Rattus norvegicus: one gene and its partners. The protein of the gene in region 3 purifies or fractionates together with the protein of the main gene of each other region. This does not show direct contact. Links are inferred from orthologs where the notes say so. Each region holds a gene or a part of one and is shown on either strand. Other genes may lie near its edges.

The links.
Region 1: the proteins of Setdb1 (region 3) and Faf2 purify together in Homo sapiens (affinity purification with mass spectrometry; 3 studies listed by BioGRID and IntAct, counting the BioPlex papers as one, with this or other methods). This does not show direct contact. The link is inferred for Rattus norvegicus from reciprocal best matches to the Homo sapiens genes SETDB1 and FAF2.
Region 2: the proteins of Setdb1 (region 3) and Chaf1a purify together in Homo sapiens (affinity purification with western blotting; 3 studies listed by BioGRID and IntAct, with this or other methods). This does not show direct contact. The link is inferred for Rattus norvegicus from reciprocal best matches to the Homo sapiens genes SETDB1 and CHAF1A.
Region 4: the proteins of Setdb1 (region 3) and Atf7ip purify together in Homo sapiens (affinity purification with mass spectrometry; 6 studies listed by BioGRID and IntAct, counting the BioPlex papers as one, with this or other methods). This does not show direct contact. The link is inferred for Rattus norvegicus from reciprocal best matches to the Homo sapiens genes SETDB1 and ATF7IP.
Region 5: the proteins of Setdb1 (region 3) and Suv39h1 purify together in Homo sapiens (affinity purification with mass spectrometry; 3 studies listed by BioGRID and IntAct, counting the BioPlex papers as one, with this or other methods). This does not show direct contact. The link is inferred for Rattus norvegicus from reciprocal best matches to the Homo sapiens genes SETDB1 and SUV39H1.

What each region holds. Positions count from the first base shown.
Region 1 is NC_086035.1:9,954,172-9,956,544, reverse strand, and holds part of Faf2 (FAS-associated factor 2), read left to right. Parts: intron 1-1,116; coding exon 1,117-1,299; 3' UTR 1,300-2,373. UniProt on the Homo sapiens protein: Plays an important role in endoplasmic reticulum-associated degradation (ERAD) that mediates ubiquitin-dependent degradation of misfolded endoplasmic reticulum proteins.
Region 2 is NC_086027.1:978,219-981,735, reverse strand, and holds part of Chaf1a (chromatin assembly factor 1 subunit A), read right to left. Parts: coding exon 3,466-3,517; intron 2,421-3,465; coding exon 2,360-2,420; intron 2,203-2,359; coding exon 2,134-2,202; intron 1-2,133. UniProt on the Homo sapiens protein: Acts as a component of the histone chaperone complex chromatin assembly factor 1 (CAF-1), which assembles histone octamers onto DNA during replication and repair.
Region 3 is NC_086020.1:185,598,470-185,601,986, reverse strand, and holds part of Setdb1 (histone-lysine N-methyltransferase SETDB1), read left to right. Parts: intron 1-378; coding exon 379-1,047; intron 1,048-2,221; coding exon 2,222-2,338; intron 2,339-3,517. UniProt on the Homo sapiens protein: Histone methyltransferase that specifically trimethylates 'Lys-9' of histone H3. H3 'Lys-9' trimethylation represents a specific tag for epigenetic transcriptional repression by recruiting HP1 (CBX1, CBX3 and/or CBX5) proteins to methylated histones.
Region 4 is NC_086022.1:171,115,857-171,119,935, reverse strand, and holds the start of Atf7ip (activating transcription factor 7-interacting protein 1), read right to left. Parts: upstream 2,815-4,079; 5' UTR 2,662-2,814; exon of another isoform or gene 2,614-2,661; intron 1-2,613. UniProt on the Homo sapiens protein: Recruiter that couples transcriptional factors to general transcription apparatus and thereby modulates transcription regulation and chromatin formation. Can both act as an activator or a repressor depending on the context.
Region 5 is NC_086039.1:17,091,672-17,095,868, forward strand, and holds the start of Suv39h1 (histone-lysine N-methyltransferase SUV39H1), read left to right. Parts: upstream 1-1,387; 5' UTR 1,388-1,554; coding exon 1,555-1,573; exon of another isoform or gene 1,574-1,975; coding exon of another isoform or gene 1,976-1,997; intron 1,998-3,669; coding exon 3,670-3,815; intron 3,816-4,197. UniProt on the Homo sapiens protein: Histone methyltransferase that specifically trimethylates 'Lys-9' of histone H3 using monomethylated H3 'Lys-9' as substrate. Also weakly methylates histone H1 (in vitro).

The DNA of each region.
Region 1 (2,373 bases), on a different chromosome or scaffold from region 3:
ATCTTTTTTTAAAAAATAAAAATTAAAAAACAAGTTTAAAAGACTGAAGAACCTTGTTGTTTCAGAGTACATCCCTACATACACCCCCAGTTAGAGAAAACCTGGTCCCACCTGAACTGTCATCGGTGTGTACCATAATTAAATGTGCACAGTACTTTCAGTTCACTGGTGTGAGTACTTTAAACCATTTTAAGGACAGGAGAATGCATGAGTTATAGCTGAATGCCTGAGGAACTTGGCTTGGAGGAGGATCCTGAAACCTCCATGGTATGGAAGGATAGCATATTAAACTTTGTAGTATATCAGTTAAATGCTCTGATTTTGAGGTTATTTAAAGTCTTCTGAGATAATGGGATACCAGGTTGGCAGACAGCTTAAAATGAACTCAAAGGGGATAAATATTCTGAACACTGCCTTCCAGCTTTTCCGAAACCATGCCTATTTCTAGTAAGTATTGTTTGCTTGGGTGGTTGTAATTGCCCCATGCTGCTGCATGCCTTTGATCTCAGCATAGGGGGAGGCAAAAGAGGCGGTGGATCTCTGAGCTACATTGTGAGACCCTTAAATAAGTAAAGAAAAATTTTAAATTGTTTAGCTTTACCTAAGGTCAGATTCTTGGGTGGCAGGGCTGGGGTGGGGGGAGTCAAAAGACTAGCTTGTGTGAATTCTTTTTTTTCTAAGACATGCTGTCTGGAACTCACTATGTAGACTAGGCTGGCCTTGAACTCACATTATTCTGCCTCCAAAAGTGTTGGGCTCGTGCAGTCTTCTGTCTCCTTTACATGGTATAAGGCACTCACAGTGAACTGACAGCACTGAGCACAAGTAATTATGGTGCTCACTAGTACGTCGTTCAGGTTTCCCACTGTAGGGTTCTCTAACTCGGGGTGTTTGTAGGGACGTACTCTGGAGCTATGAGGGTATGAGGTTCCTCAGTCTCTTAAACTGTTTTTCTAAAGGCATGGGCTGCCACACTCCGGTGAACTCTTTAAAAGAAGGTAGAATTCCATTAGAATAGGACTACTGTCTGCTTGGGTCTTCCTGGGGAAGGTTAGGACATGGGACTTCACAGTGAGTCTCTCCTTACCACGTTCTTTTTCTGTGTGGCATCTACAGGTCATCCACGACTTCTTATTCTCCTTGAAGGAAAGCCCTGAAAAGTTTCAGATTGAAGCCAATTTTCCAAGACGGGTACTTCCCTGTGTCCCTTCAGAGGAATGGCCCAACCCCCCCACCCTGCAGGAGGCGGGACTAAGCCACACAGAAGTTCTCTTTGTTCAGGACCTGACAGACGAATGACACTTTTCTGCCTCCTTCTTCCCACCCCAATCCCTAAAAGAAATGGAAAAACAAAAACAGAGAACAAGAGATAAATTCATATTATTATTATTATTATAATACAATATTTTTTTTAAAAAAACTGCTGCATCCTGCGGAAGGATCGGAAACCATGCTGCCTGCAAGAGGCACAGCCTGTGTGCGTGTGCAAGGCCGGCAGTGAATGCACCTGCCCAGCAGACTCGCCTTCCACAGCCGCCTCTCCATCCTCCAGTGAAGACTTCACCTCCAACCCATCCCTCCGCCCACGTGGGGAAGGAGACATTCCCACTGTTTCTCAGTCATTCTTGCTTTTGTAGAAAAGAAAAAAAGAAACCCACCATCAGCTCCAGCAGCAGCTCCTGAGGACCTGCTTCTCCTACTTCCAGAGGAAGAGGGGAGAGAAGGATGGACTGACTGCCCACAGTTCATGAATAACTTTGTTTCTGTTTGCTTTGTAATGATAATGACCAAAGGAGTGAGGCTGACTTAGGTGTATTTTTTCCTCAGATTTGATAAAGAGCCAGTGCCCTGGGCTCCATGGCCCACGGCGGTGTAATAAAGGTGCCCTGGGCTCATTTGTGCTTCCTTCTGCCACTGTTCCTCTCACGGTCCCAGAGGTATCCCATTTGGAGCAATGAGAGGAAGTCTGGGATTGTGACCCACAAAAGGCTGTGTGTGGGGTGTGTGTTCCCTTTACACACACATACAGCTTCTCCTTGGCATCTGTACCAGGTGGTGGTGAAGGGGTCTCAGCCAAAGGACAGCAGCTCCTGCTTCCCCTCTGACTGCACACACTGCTCTTCCCGGCTTTCCTAACTTGCCGAGCTCGGTGCCTTTCCAGAGGACTAGGGCCCGGGCCCTCCGTCCCACCTGCGGAGGCTCGTCCTGTTTGAGTGCACATATGATAATGATGTTTAAGGATATAGACCCATCGCAGGCATGGTGGTGTGCTGGGAGGCAGAGGCAGCAGATCTCTGAATTCCAGGCCAGCCTGGTCTACAGAGTGAGGAGGCCCTGTCTCAAAGTTTTGAACCAGAAACTTTGAAAGAGAAA
Region 2 (3,517 bases), on a different chromosome or scaffold from region 3:
TGGGCCACTCATCCCACCATTGGCCGTGTATTCTCCAGTTGTTCTCTCTGACAGCTATGTCAGTGTGCACTAGGGCTGCACTTTGTATCCAGCCAGGCTGCTTGGCTGGTGCTCTCTCTAGTGGCCACACCAGAGGCTGCCAACTCCTAAAAACCATGCTACCAAAGCCTGGCCTCAGGGCTTCTTGGAGAGCAACCAGTACATCCCAGAGCATGCCCTGGGCTTTCTGAAGCTCTGAGTCAGAGAAGCAGCAGCTTGGGCCTCCTGTAGCATTAGGAATATACAAGATAGTCATAGCCCAGCTGACCACTTGAATCCCTAGTGCTTTACCAAGGTACAGGCCAGACAGGCAGGCAGAATCAGATCTAATATACAAGGGCTAACAGGGTGGCTCAGCAGGTCAAAAGCTCATCACCCATGCCTAGTATCCTGAGTCCAACTCTAAGAACCTGTCTGCGATGGGAGGAAAAACATTGACTACAGAAAATGTCCTCTGACCTCTGCATACACAGATACAAGAAAAAAATCATAAAGAAAAAGACACTCAGTTGCTTGCTGCCAAACCTAAGGACCTGGATTCCACACACAGAGCCCACACATTGTAAGAACTAACTCCTTTAAGTTTCATTCTTAACTACACATGTGCATCATGTGTAGTCACCCCCTCACTCTATAACCATTCACTTCATGCTCTTTCAGAGGACCTGAGTTTGGATGCCACATCCCACAGCTCAAAACCCCAACCCTCCCTAATTCTGCAGTCAAAGCCACAGAACATAAGACTTCCCAAGCAAGGGGTTGGGGATTTAGCTCAGTGGTAGAGCACTTGCCTAGCAAGCACAAGGCCCTGGGTTCGGTCCCCAGCTCCGAAAAATAGAAAAGGAAAAAAAAAAAAAAAAAAAGACTTCCCAAGCAAAAACCAAAACAGCCAGCAGAACAGGAAGGGACAAAGCGCAGGAGGTGGCAAGCTACCATACACAGTGCAGGCTACAGCAAGCTATCGTCAGGGCACTCCAAGCCCTTCCCCAGTGTTTCTTCCCACTGTAAGGTAAGTGGGTCTTGTCACTGGCTCTGGCTCTGGTATTGGTCACAGGTCAAGTGGCTGTAGCTGATGAACTTCCAGCTTCACAGGGTGATTAGCTGGGGACTTGATGGAGGAACAGAACAAATTCCTACATGTAAACAGACTCCTTCACTGAGCTGATGCGAGCGTCATTTCTTCACTCACCTGCAGGCCGAGGTGGCAGAGGTTAGGAGGGGCCACCTAACACCTCAGTTCCCACATGGTGGTGCTGGCCAGGGTCACCACAGCTTTCCTTCCCCACAAACAAGGCTCTACAGGGAACCTCAGAATTGCCACTGGAATCCACAGCACTATGGCATGTCTCACACTGGCCAGGTGATGAGAATAAAATATTTTGTGCAAACATTGAGACCATGTTCAGACCCTGGCATGTGCTTAGTTCTGAAATTACAGCATTCAGGGGCTGAAGAAAGATGGTGAGCTCAAGACTACCTCAGCCTACACAGCCATAATCCTAAGCCTACAGAGCTAGATCCTAACATGCCAGGGCCAGGATCGAAGATACCCCAAGCCACCAAAGCCACTGTGGGACCAGCATTTGAGCAACACACCATGTCAGGAGAGAAAAATGAGAGTGGGCAGTGAGGGAAGCTGGCTAGGTGAAAGGGCAGCCTCAGGCCACACACTTTCTATTGCACCTCAAGCCTCTCTGTTCCTATGGCTGCCATGCCAGCCACAGGTCAGCTCCCAGAGCAGCATTGCTGGGCTCCATGGCCTTCTAATGGCAAAGAAAAAGCTCAGACTTGAACCCTGACAGGAATGTATTCAGTGGTCCTAAAGCAAGGCTAAGGAGGTGTGTTGTCAGTACAATGCTGCCATCCAAGATAACAACCACATGAAACCTGGAGCGCGGCACGGGGATCTGGCACTGGAGCGGGAGCAGGGAGCCCTCTTCCTGCTTGCTGGCCAGCCAATCTACAGACAATTTGTAGGTATGAAGCTCCAAGAGATGATCTCAAAAACCAGAGTGGATGGAGCAAACTCACAGCAGTAAACACCCAGCAAGAGTCAACTGGGCCTAGAGCAGAGAGAGCTGAGGCGGCGCTCACCTTGGGAGCCTGCGGAGTCTTCGGTTTCTGAAAGAACCTGGTGATCTCTGCCTTCTCTGCCTTAATGCGCTGTGGTGGGAAGGAGACCAGACAGGCACTTACCCAAAGCATTCTGAGAAGGCATACTGCTCCCAACTGATGAGGGACCCACACAGTAAGGAAGCAGTTCTGGCACTGCAGCCCAGATAAGATCTGAGGGTGTATGGAGGGCAGGGAGCCAGGCTACCTTTTCTTCTTCCCGTAATCGCTTCTCCTCCTCTTTCCTCCTCTTCTCTTCCAGTTTAGCCCTGGGAGACAGAAGTGAGTTGTAAGCCCAGGGAATCAGCCCCTCCCAAATCCGATCTTCTACAAGGCTCTGGCACTGGGACTAACAAAGGAAAATGCACAACCTCAAAGTTCTTCTTTTTGCTTCTGAGACAGTCTTGTTAGGCAACCCAAGGCCTCCTGCTTCTGCCAATGTGCCAACGTTATTGGTATCCCAAGACTCCAAATAAAATTATTTTGAGAGAGGGTCTCACTATGTAGACTAGGCTCCAACTCACAGAATGCATTAGCTAGAGTGAGGATTAAAGGCATGCATCACATCTGCCCATCAATATAAAATTCTTGATGGGCTGGGGTTCTATGAGTAGAGTGGTGGCTAGTCATGCACCAGGCTGTTGTCCATTCCCAACATGTCAACACTCAGCACTCAGATGGAGGCAGGAGGATCAAAAGCCCGAAGTAATTTGCAGCAATACAACAAACTTGCTCAAAAATCACTTGCCATTTATTAATCTCAACTACCTACTTGCAAGGAACAAAGAATTTTTTGTTGTTGTTGTTGTTTTTGGTGGGCATAGTGGCATATGCTTTTAATCCCAGCAGAGGCAGGCTGATCTCTGAGTATGAGGTCAGCCTAGTCTACAGAGTGAGTTCCAGGACAGCCATGGCTACAGAGAAAACCTGTCTCAGAAAACCAAATGAAATGAAACCAAAAAGAGAAAAACAAATGAACAGTACTATCTGGATAGAAATGAGAATGTCTCATGAGATACAGAGCTCCTGTGAACTTCTTTCAGAGTCAAAACCTCACGGGACACAGTGGTTATCCACTGAGGCAATGGTCCAGTTAGGAAACTGAAGAAGAAATCCTGATGTGACTAGAGCATTTAAAACCAAAATCCCAATCAGCCTGGTAGCCACCAGCCAGCCAAAGCCCACAGCCCCACAGAACATAGGCCAGAAGCCAACTACACCTCTCTAATCAAGCTCCAGAGAGTGAGAATGAGAAACAGAAAGGACTCATCAGGGAACACAGCTGTGGAATGCCCATAGGGGCTGGCCACTCACTCCAGAGCTTCCTGTCGCTCCTTTCGTCTTTCCTCCTTGAGCCGCTGCTTCT
Region 3 (3,517 bases):
TGACTTTTAGGAGATGGCAAGGATGTTTAGAAGTACCCTATTGAACTGTTGACAGTCTGTCTGAGGAGTCAACAGGGAGTAGCATTACATTGTTGTCCAGGTTTGTTTGGTAAGGCAAAGGATCTGACCTTGTTCTTTAGCGTCCCGAGCACAGCTGGCTGGTGTATTAGTACACACCTGTAATCTCAGTTCTTGAGAGGACAGAGCAGAAGATTTGGGAGCTGCAGAATATTCTGGGCTACATGAGACCTTGTCTCAAACAATAAAACAAAAAAACTGTATGAAAGATGAGAGAAATGACTTAGCCAGATGGAGAGAAAACTATATAGCAAAGAGGCTTGTTGCCTTCTGATCTAATATCTTGCTTTTCATTTGCAGATCACCTTCAGCCTCTGTAACATCTACCCCAGCACCTGCAGCCCCTTCTGGGCCTCCAGCCCCTCCAGGGCCTCTTGCTCCTCCTGGACCACCGGCCCCTCCAGCTTTCCACGGCATGTTAGAGCGGGCACCAGCTGAGCCCTCCTATCGTGCCCCTATGGAGAAGCTTTTCTATTTACCTCATGTCTGCAGTTACACTTGTTTGTCCCGGATTAGACCCATGAGGAATGAACAATATCGGGGCAAAAACCCTCTACTGGTCCCACTATTGTATGACTTCCGGAGGATGACAGCACGTCGCAGAGTTAACCGCAAGATGGGCTTCCATGTAATCTATAAGACACCCTGTGGTCTCTGCCTTCGGACGATGCAGGAAATAGAGCGCTACCTTTTTGAGACTGGCTGTGACTTCCTGTACCTGGAGATGTTCTGTTTGGATCCATATGTCCTTGTTGACAGAAAGTTCCAGCCCTTTAAACCTTTTTACTATATTTTGGACATCACCTATGGCAAAGAAGATGTTCCCCTGTCCTGTGTTAATGAGATTGACACAACTCCCCCACCCCAGGTGGCCTACAGCAAGGAACGCATTCCTGGCAAGGGTGTTTTCATTAACACAGGCCCTGAATTTCTGGTTGGCTGTGACTGCAAGGATGGGTGTCGGGATAAGTGAGTTGGTGGGGTGTGCAGACATTGCTGTCTCTGCCTTCAGGTTTAATACAGTTGCTTTTCTTTTTATTCTTTTATTCTTTTTTATTTGTATTGCTTTTTCTATATTCCCTTTCCTCTTTCAGCTAGAATTCTGCTAAGCCATTGTGAAATACAGATACAGAAGCTGGGTGCAGTGGCACAGACCTGTAATCTCAGCATTTGAAATTCAGCACTGCAGCAGGTTCATCTTGAGCTCTGGGCCAGCCTAGGCTAGCTACACAGTGAGATCTTACTGAAAAGAAAAAAAGAAAGACATGAGATAGGGACACCAGGGTCTGATAGTCTTATATGGCCCCATGAGTTACCCTGGGAATTGTTCTGTTCCTATCCCCACTTGCTATTTTTGTCTCCCCTTTTCTTTCTTTCTTTCTTTTTTTTTTTTTTTTTTTTTTTTTTCCGGAGCTGGGGACCGAACCCAGGGCCTTGTGCTTGCTAGGCAAGCGCTCTACCACTGAGCTAATTCCCCAACCCGTCTCCCCTTTTCTTAAACTTTCATCTTGTCTCTGTTTTCTGCACTATGATTCTCTATATCTACTCTACTCTCACTGTATCTTATTCATGCTTGTTCTTACTACCTTTACCCTACCCCCATCCTTTGTGGTTGATTTTTGCCCTAAGGCTCAGGTTTGTTGATGGCTTAAAGGGCTATTGGGAGTCCCTGGTGACTGAGGGTGAGGCCTGGAAGTTCCTGGCAAGTGAAAGAGTTTACATAACCAAGAACTGCTTAAAAGTATGGCTTTTAGCTCCACCTTGCCATAGTAGAGCTTGCTTCTTGCTCAGCATGGCTCTGGAGGTTAGAGCCTTTCTATTTCTCAAAATTTAGGCAGTCCTTGCCAACAAGGTCACCCACTCAGCAGGTGCACCTCCTTACCACAATGGGCACCTTGGGCATGGAAGAGCCTGGCTTAAGATGAGTGACTATAGCTAGCAGGTCCTAAGTTGTGTGTTCAGCTCAGTTTTTATTTAAGATGGCTCAAGCCAGCCGGAACTTACTAGCTGAGGATAGCAGTTAACCACTGATCCTCCAACTTCTATGTCTCAAATGTTGATTACAGATGTGGATCACTATGCCCAGCCCTCATCCTCATGAACCTAAGAACCACAGCTGTAGTTACCTTCTCTCTCTCTGCAGATCCAAGTGTGCCTGCCATCAGCTCACTGTCCAGGCCACAGCCTGTACCCCAGGGGGTCAGATCAACCCTAGCTCCGGCTACCAGCACAAAAGACTAGAAGAGTGTCTGCCCACAGGGTAAGTAGTCAGTTTGCCCAAGTCCTCAGAGGAGTACATTCTTGTTTTTCTGTTTGTAAGAACCTTTGGAAACCTAACTTGCCAGGAGGCTGAAACAGGAAGATAGTTTCAGATCCATCTGAGCTATAATACTAAAATTCTGTCTCAAAAAATATATGAGAGTAATTAGAGAGTTTTCACTACTTTTTCTTATGCAGAAATCTTAGAAGGATGTGATAGCATATGCTTGTAATCCCAGCACTCAGGAGGCAGATGCAGAAGGATTGCTTGATTTCTAGGTCTGCTTAGACAATGCAGCAACACCTTGTGTAGAAACAAACAAAAATGGAATTGGCAGTGCTCAGCAGTTCAGAGTGAAGCACCTGTTCCTGCAGAGGACTTGGTTTGATTCTAGCACCTACATGGTGGCTCATAGCCACTTGTCACTCCGGTTCCAGGGGATCTGGTACACAAATGCTCACAGACATGCATGCAAACAAAACACTCATATACCTAAGATTAATTTCATAGATGTCTGAATGTTCTGATTATGACGAGTGAATTACAGGGCTTTGTTAACCTAAAATGAAAAGTTAGAATCAGGCCCAGTGGTAGTGGTGTAGTCTTGTAATCTCAGCACTTGGGAGACAGAGGCAGGAAGTTAAAGGACACCCTGGTCTGTTCCAGGCCAGTGAGTGGGGAAAAGAAAGTTAGAGTCAAAATCGTGATAAATAGGTAAGTAGGTAGGATTTTTGTTTTTTTGGTTTTTTTTTTTTTGGGGGGGTTCTTTTTTTCGGAGCTGGGGACCGAACCCAGGGCCTTGCGCTTCCTAGGCAAGCGCTCTACCACTGAGCTAAATCCCCAACCCCGGTAGGTAGGTTTTTAAGTAGCCTTTTAATATTTTTTTTTCTTTTTGGGGGGTGCTATTTGTCTTAGATCAGAAAAACAGAATTTCAAAGATTTCAAAGACCAACTTGGTAATTTTAAGAGAATATATGAGAAGTAATGGGAGCTTAGGCCTTACACTAGAATGGAAATGGCAATGGGGATTAAGGAGGATAGGGCTGAGTGTGTAGCCCAACAGAGGCATGGTTAATATGCACCAAGAATGAAGTAATAAATGAGAGCTGTTGGGTGCATGAGAAAGTACAGCTCTATAGAGAGAGAACTTGTTTGTTGGTTGGTTGGGGTTTTTTTTGT
Region 4 (4,079 bases), on a different chromosome or scaffold from region 3:
TCTCCATAGTGAGTTCGAGAACAGCCAGGGCAGAGAAAGCTAGTCTTGGAAAAAAATAAAGAAATGACTAAACAAACAAACATTAAGTGATAAATTTTTATAGACTGATCTACCACAGCAAAAGTGAAGTCACAAAGATCCCAGAGTAGTTAAGATTATTAACTTCATACTAAATCTTCATAATGTATAAGTGTAAAATATTCAAACATAGCACAAAGATCAAGTAATTTGTAAAAAATAAAATTTTAATTTTATGACTTAAATCATTCCAGCCTGATTTTTTTTCTAACTACATATTTAAAATTTACAAAACTACTATATTTTTAAATAGCTTCAGTAATTGTTCTACTTTGGGTAACCTAGTATGTGTGTGTACATATATATTATATATAATATATATAAAACATATAATATATAAAACATATAATATACATATATACACAGTGTATGTTAAAGCTTCATTTAATCATAACCAAACTAAAACTTCAAACTTTTAGTACTTGTTTCTGAAATACAACCATTGACCTTCAGACAATTCATTTTTAGTAAACTTAAAATTACATTTTAAAAAAAGATTTATTTATTATATACAGTGTAGCTGTCTTCAGACACACCACAAGAGAGCATCAGATCTCATTACAGATGATTGTGAGCGACCATGTAGTTGCTGGGATTTGAACTCAGGACCTCTGGAAGAGCAGTCAGTGCTCTTAACCGCTGAGCCATCTCCCCAGTCCTTAAAATTACATTTGCCTTCTAAGAAATATAGTAGCGGGGGCTGGGGATTTAGCTCAGTGGTAGAGTGCTTACCTAGGAAGCGCAAGGCCCTGGGTTCGGTCCCCAGCTCCGAAAAAAAGAACCAAAAAAAAAAAAAAAAAAAGAAATATAGTAGTAAAACTGTGCCATCGATATTGAAATTGAATGTTATACAGTTTTCCAGTGCCTCTATGATCTTCAATATTAATTCATGACACAGTTACCCATGCATTCAAAGAAAAGTGTAATTTTAAATACATAAACCCAAGTACTAGGAGTACAAACATGGGGTGAGGGGAACCGCCTCAGAAGCATCAAAGTCTCAAAAAGGCAGAACTGCCTCCATTCCTTTTACAAGACAACAGAGGCTCAAGAGTCCCATTACATCAAATTTAGACCTGCTTGCTACAGGGGGAGAAAAGACAAGATCTTCCTCATCCTTCCATTCGATGCCATATGTCACATCATTTAAAAAAAAAAAAAAGAAAAAAGAAAAAAGCTCCTTTCACTTATACCCTGCTATTTCTAATAGTACTTGTTTCAGGTAATAGAGATACCCCAAACCAATCGACATTATATAAAACAACACTTTAACTTGACAACAGACTGAGTTAAACTTGGGTTACATAATCAACTAAAAAGGGACTGTACATGTGAATGACAGATAAAGTTTATGAAACCATTTACAAGTTTTTAGACCAGTAAGAAACAAGTGGCAGAATAAAAAAATGATATTTTAAATTATATGTATATTGACCCAATTATTCTACGTACAACTGAAATTTAGTGGCACCACAACTTTAATCAGTAGCACACCAGTTATTTTAAGAAACTAAAACCAGAACATATACAGCTAAAAAATATGTAAAGCATACAATCATACACATATACTACAGTGCACATATTTTTTTAAAAACTCAAAAATTTTAATTGATTCCCTGAATACATAAAGGCCTCAATATAACTTGGAATTATTTGTAAAATTCTTCATCAAAAACCGGTATCAGGTATAATAGCTTATACGTCATTACAAAATGATGAGAAAACGAGTTCATTTTTAATATTTAAATAACTGAAAAAATACTAAAACTAAAAACAAAAGATTCAAGTACTTGGCAAACTGTTCAGGATTAAAACTTCATTGACCAGATGAAATATTTTCTTTAAAAGAAAAGATAGAATACCTGAAAAAACTGAGATTTCAACCCAATTTGTACATTTTCTAATTCTCCTCGGAAACTAAACAATACAAAAATAAAATGGTTTCTATTTTTCTAAGTTTCTATTTTGTAAACACTGCACATCCAAAAGCGAACTGGTAACCACAGGGTTAAAAATGTATTTACAAAAGTGCAGCTGAAGTAAATGCACTTCCCCCGAGAACACCACTAGGTGCTGATCTTATCTCCCTTAATGCAATGCAAATCCAGAAACACCTAACTAAACGTGAAATTATAATCGAGAACCACAAGAGACAATTTGTACCAAAAAATCAAGTCTGCACCGGTGAGACAGTCAGAGAAACTAAGAATTTTGAGGTGCGGGAAGGTTTAAGACACGAGAGAAACGTTTCCCTCGGAAAATGTGAAAAGAAGAGGCACGAGACGAAACCCCCTCGAGAATGAGAAAAATTAAATCTAGAACCCAAATGGCGTCCAACAAGAACATTAGCTCTTGAAAATGAATATTGCGCTTGCGCAGCCACCGCCCGGACAGCTGCTCAACTGCAGCTAGAGCCCGACCCCCAGCGATCACGTGCTCCCATGCAGCGCCCGCCCGCAGCTTCGCAACCGCGCAGGCGCACACTCAACTCCCGCAGCCGCCATAATGCGGTCTTGACTCTTCCGAAATACAATAGTCATTTCGCCGACTGTGGTTAGAACAGCCCCTGGCACTCGCATATACCTTCGGGGGCGGGAGGTGAGGGCCTGGGACCCGAGTTCCTTCCTACGCAGCCGTCCCGCGCAGCCGTCCCGGACGCTGCCGTCTCAGCCGTGCGCTCCACTCGCCGCCACCGCAGATTCAAAAACAAACCCGCTTCTCCCCAGCACGCGCCGGGGCCGTTATGCAAATAGGTGGGGGCGGAGCTTCGTGGGCGCACTATGTACTCCACCCACTGCGCGATCGGCCAATGAGAGCGCGCGATGCCTATTCTCCATGCAAATCTCCTGGTTTTTTATTTGAATGAGGGATTTTGGCCACGCCTCCTGCCTTGAAAAATGAGGCCCGTCTGCCGTGGTGGCGCTGCGGTCTTTTCAATCGCGTCCGGAGGTGAATTTTTTTCCGGTTGCCTCTTTTTTAATCCTCGAGGTGTTTTTTTGTTTTGTTTTGTTTTTGCATGGAGATTCCTCAGTAGCCACCCCTCCATGAAACTTGAGAAAAGAAGTAGGTGAGTGCTTAAAAAGCGAAAAGACTTTTCCATAAAGTCTAGAAGCCTAGAGTACGGAAAATTATTAACATTAATTTTTGTTAATTTTTATCTTTTTGTTTTGTAATGTTGAGGAAGATTCATGCAATTTAGTTCAGTCTAGCATTGAACTTGCCACGTAGCCCACACAGGTCTGGAATTTGAAATCAGTCGGCCTCAACCTCTCAAGTGTTGCTTACAGGTATCACTTAAAGTTCACTAAACTAATTGTATTAATCACAAGAGGTGGAGATAAACATCTTTGGGGGGGGGTAATCTGTAACAGAGCAAGTACTACCAGTCATACCCTCACACCTCATAAACTCACGTATCTCTGAAATACAGATAATAATTACTGTTCCACCAAACAATTACTGACTCAGACTGTAGAAAAGATCCTAAATATGCTTTTTGTATATCAGTAAGGGCCAGGAAAAAAATGGGTGGGAAATTTAATCCCTTAAACTTAATTTCTCCCTTAAAGTATTTATTCAATAGTAATTTAAGCAATCACTGTGTTCCAAAACTTAAGTAGCTGTCAGGGCTGAGGAAATCTATACTCCCATAGGCAGATGTGGCTCAACTCCCAGCGGCACTCAGGGAGGATGAGGGAGATCTTGAGAGAACAAGGACAACCTGGGGCCATGGGCTCCCAGATCATCTGGAGCTTGAGACTCTTCTCTCCAAAGAAGCTCACAGCTTTAATTACTGTCCTGTACTTGACTCTTCAACAAAGGACATTAAACAGGCAAACCCAAGGGATTTAAAATTGAAGAAGCAACCCACTGGGGACATGAAATATGGTACAGTATCCAGAATCTTTCCAGTGCCAGCCCATCCACAAGCTAGGCAAGGGCTCTGCTATTAGGTGATAGCATCAACCCAGAATTGCCAGAACCATGAGATGAACACATCA
Region 5 (4,197 bases), on a different chromosome or scaffold from region 3:
ACAGTGTAGTATCTCTTGCCATGCTAACACTAGAGTACAATGAAGTCTGGAAATCTGTAATAAATTGCACTTTGAGAAATCCTAGATCTTCCTAACTTTTCTGGTATATGTACATGTTACTGTGGGCTGTGTACATGTGCATGCACACGTGTATGCTAGAGGTCAATGTCGGGCATCTCCCTTGATTGTGATCCATTTTATTTTTAATTTTATTACATTTATTGTGCGTGTGTGTGAGCATATAGATATGTAGGCCAGAGTTGAGCATCTTCCTTGATTGATTTCGTAGTATTTAAATTTTTTTACTACATTTATTTGGGCTATGTGTGTACACACATCTACCAAGGTGCAGGTGTGGAGAACAGAAGACAGCTTACAGGAATGGGTTCTGTCTTATAAAAGCAAGTTCAGGCCTCCTGACACAACTCCAGCACTTTGTTGCTGGATGTGGCTTTTACATGGATGCCGAGAATGAGAATCTGAATTCAAGCCTTTACGCTAGCATAGCCGACACTTTACTGAGCCATCTCCACAGCCCCTTGCCCAATTCTTTGGTCTTTCCGCATTTTCTGCCTTTAGCAGCCAGTTCTCACACGCGGAGTTTTCCCTTTAAATCGGGGATCCACTGATAAGTAGCCCCAAGGTTTCATCATTCTGCTCCCTATTGTGAGGGCCTAGCTAGATGCTATGGCTGATGAATCATGATGTAAACGAGGAGCAACCAAATTGAACCACAGTAATCAAGTGACAGTGTGAGTGTCTAGAGAGAGCTATTGGGAGCTGACAATTTGTTCTCATCTAATCTCAGTCTACCTTAGGACATGGGTGGACATTGTCATTTATGAGACATTTCCTTCAGAGGTAGATGGAGAAAAGGGCTGACTGGCTGACAGCGTGATGGGGACAGCTTGAGGGAATAGTAGGCTGCCTAACGGCACAAGGGCTGTGTTTCAGTGAACTCAAACGGCTGCAGGGCACAGACGGATGCTACTATTGACTGACGTAGTGCGAATGAAGAAGCGAGTGATCTGAACGGACACCTGATGGCAGCGACCGACTTATTTTTTATTTGAATCAGATGACTGACTGAACACCTATATATGGCTCTAGATCCACCCTGGAAGTGAATGCTTGCTCTAGGTTAAAATATGACGGGCAGAATTGGGGTCGGACAAAACAATCCCTTTATGACTGGCTGACGACATGATTGGCTAGCACTATGACTGACAGGAGGTAGAGCCTGGAGCAAAGTCAACCATTGCTCCTGCGCAGGCGCAGCACATTGAATAAAAGCAGCAGGCACGGGCGCTCGAGACCACTCCTGGTGACGGGAGGTGCTGCTGCGCAGGCGCATGCTGAATAAAAGCAGCGAGCACCGGCGCTCGAGACCACTCCTGGTGACGGGAGGAGTCCAGTCACAGCTCCCCGGTTGGTCTGAGCGGGAGCTGCGGGCGGTGAGGAACGGCCAATAGACTGCGCGTCCCCGGCCACGCCCGCGCGCGCTCTCTTCTCGCGAGGCCTTTTAGGCCCGAATGTCGTTAGCTGTGGAGAAAGATGGCGGAAAATTTAAAAGGTGAAGCTGTGGTGGTAGAGACGCAAGCTACTGGCCCGGCCGAGTAGAATGGAGGGAAGGTGTCCAGGGTTCCGAGCCGGGCGTCCGGAGCCACGGAACCTGGAGCTAGAAGGCCGGCGCGGAAAACGTGGGGCCCGAGAGCGCGGGCCGGGCGCGCGGGCAGGGCGGGGCTGAGGGGAGGGGGCGCGTGCTTCGGCCGCGGGGGGCGCGGGGCTGCGCAGACTGCGCGCGGGGTTTCTCGGCCGCGCGCGGCTGGCCGGCGCGCCTACGCGCGTGAGAGAGTCCTGAAGAGAAGGTTGCGGCCACGCGCGGGAAAAGCGGCTCTCAGTGACCGTTACCCTTTCGGTTTCCACGGGAGACGCCGGAAGGGGAGGAAGAAGTGGAACGGACCCCCTTCTCAAAATGGGGGAACCGGCGACTCTAGGTGGGAAAGGGATCTCGGCCAGATGGGGGCAGGGTTTAGGGGTGGACGATTCTCCCCAGAAAGCGGGATTGGGGGCCTCGGTGAGGAGGGCAGGGCTCCTCCATGTGCAGGAAAAGAGGGGTGACTGTGCGTGTTGGGCGGGCTCCTCGGCAGTGAGTAAAGCTGTGAGCATAGATTCCACAAGTGTGAGCAGGAGCTCGGATGGGTAGGAGTGCGGCTGCGGTTAGTGCGCAGCCAGATGCTGGAGATGTTATTTTCAGGCCACTTCTCAGGGGTTTCAAAGGCTTTTCCAACACGGGTTAGAGGCTTTGGGCAAGGAAAGGCCTTGGGTAAAAGGATGAGTGTACACGCAATGAGTTTTTTGAAACTGTTTTGTATGTTCTTAGATTACAATCTAGAGTATCTTATTAGGATCGTTTTAGGTTTGAGTAGAAAGATGGAGTTGGTTATTGACAGCATACCCCTAGCATCAAGTGGTTTTGTGACATATTTGATTTTTAAAAATGGCTTCTAAAATTACGTTGAAGGGATGTGCTCTGAAGCAAAAAAAAATGTGTATATTTTAAATCTGTTTCGCTTGAACAATTTTGGTGACCCTCAAGAGTGTCAGCGACTTACCACATGTATTGTTTGCATGTTACCGAATTAAGAGCAGATCCCTTTAGATTGAGTTGTACTTTTAAGAGAAACGTGGGATGAGACAGCAAGTGATAATGCAGCCTGGAAAAATAGGCCTTGGGTATATAAAGTGGTCTAGAATAAGTCCAAGAAGCTTCCAGTAATGTAGTACCCCTCCACCCCCCGGACAGACTGGCTGTTCTGGAACTCAGATTGACTTGCCTCTGCCTTTCAAGTGCCCAGTCTAAAGCACCACTATGTCCACCTTAATGTAATGTCTTTCTACAGTCTTTATAATTCAAGAATCTAAAAAAAACATTGAACTAGAAGTCTTTCTGAAATTTGTCACTAATCATGGCAAGAGATTTTTACAAGTGGGATTATTCAGTGAGAATATTTATTTTAATATGAATAATCAAGGCTTTTGCTATAGATGTGTTTGCTATTAATGTGTTTTGATTATAGATGGCTTAACGTCCTAGACCCTGCCAGGAATTCGCCTAAAATTACTTGTGTAAAATTCCCAAATGTTTGATCCAAAATCCAGTGGCCCAGAAGTTTCAAGATAAGTGAAGACTTTACAGCAACACCTCTGGTGCCCTAGTGATTTTCGCCCTACCCTGCCTCCCTTAGTCAACGCACCCCACTGAGCTAGGAAGCTATTGTCTTTTCTTTTGCAAAGTGCAATGAGCATTGATTAAGGCTCTGACCTCAGGTAAGTTTGCTGGGAGCTTAAGGCCTTGGATGTTCTGGGAGTGGATCCCTTTATGGACTTGACAATTGCTACAAGCTCCACATCATCCTTGCTATTTCAGAGTTAGGGGGGTAGGGTTTGGAGTTGAAGATTCCCCCAGAAGAGGGCGTAGGTCCTCTGATCGGAGAACTGGACTCTTCCATGTGCACAGAAAGACAGGTTGGGTAACTTTTTCTGGTGTTGCCCTGAGATTTGAACATTAGGTTTCAAGGAATTGTCATTTCTTGTTACAGAGGATTTTAGCTTTGAGTAAGACCTGTGATTACATTTTTTTGTGGGTCTTTGGCCTTCTCATTCCAGGTTGCAGTGTGTGCTGTAAATCTTCCTGGAATCAGCTGCAGGATCTGTGCCGACTAGCCAAGCTTTCTTGTCCTGCCCTTGGTGTTTCTAAGAAGAATCTGTATGACTTTGAAGTTGAATACCTGTGTGATTATAAGAAGATCCGTGTAAGTCTGGGGTGTGTGTGATACTACACTGGAGGGGACCCTCTTTTCTACCCAACCCTCACATCTGTTTGCAAAGAGGATTTTTCTCTGATTCATCCTGGGGGAGAATGGGATGAATTGACCCTCTTATTTCTATTTTACAGGGAGGGAAATTAAGTGACTTTCTTAGAGAACAAGAGGCAGAATGAATCGTCAAATGCATGTCTATTTCCACCTAGAAATAGAATAGTTACAAAATTGAAATTCTATGCCTAAGAGTGGAAGATGACAACAGGTAGTAGAAACAGTTACTGATGCCACAGAAGTAGTAGCAGGTTAGAGGAGCCCACTGAAAGCAGCATGTTTAGTTGAAATGTAGCCTTCAGTTTCTTGTCTGTAAAAT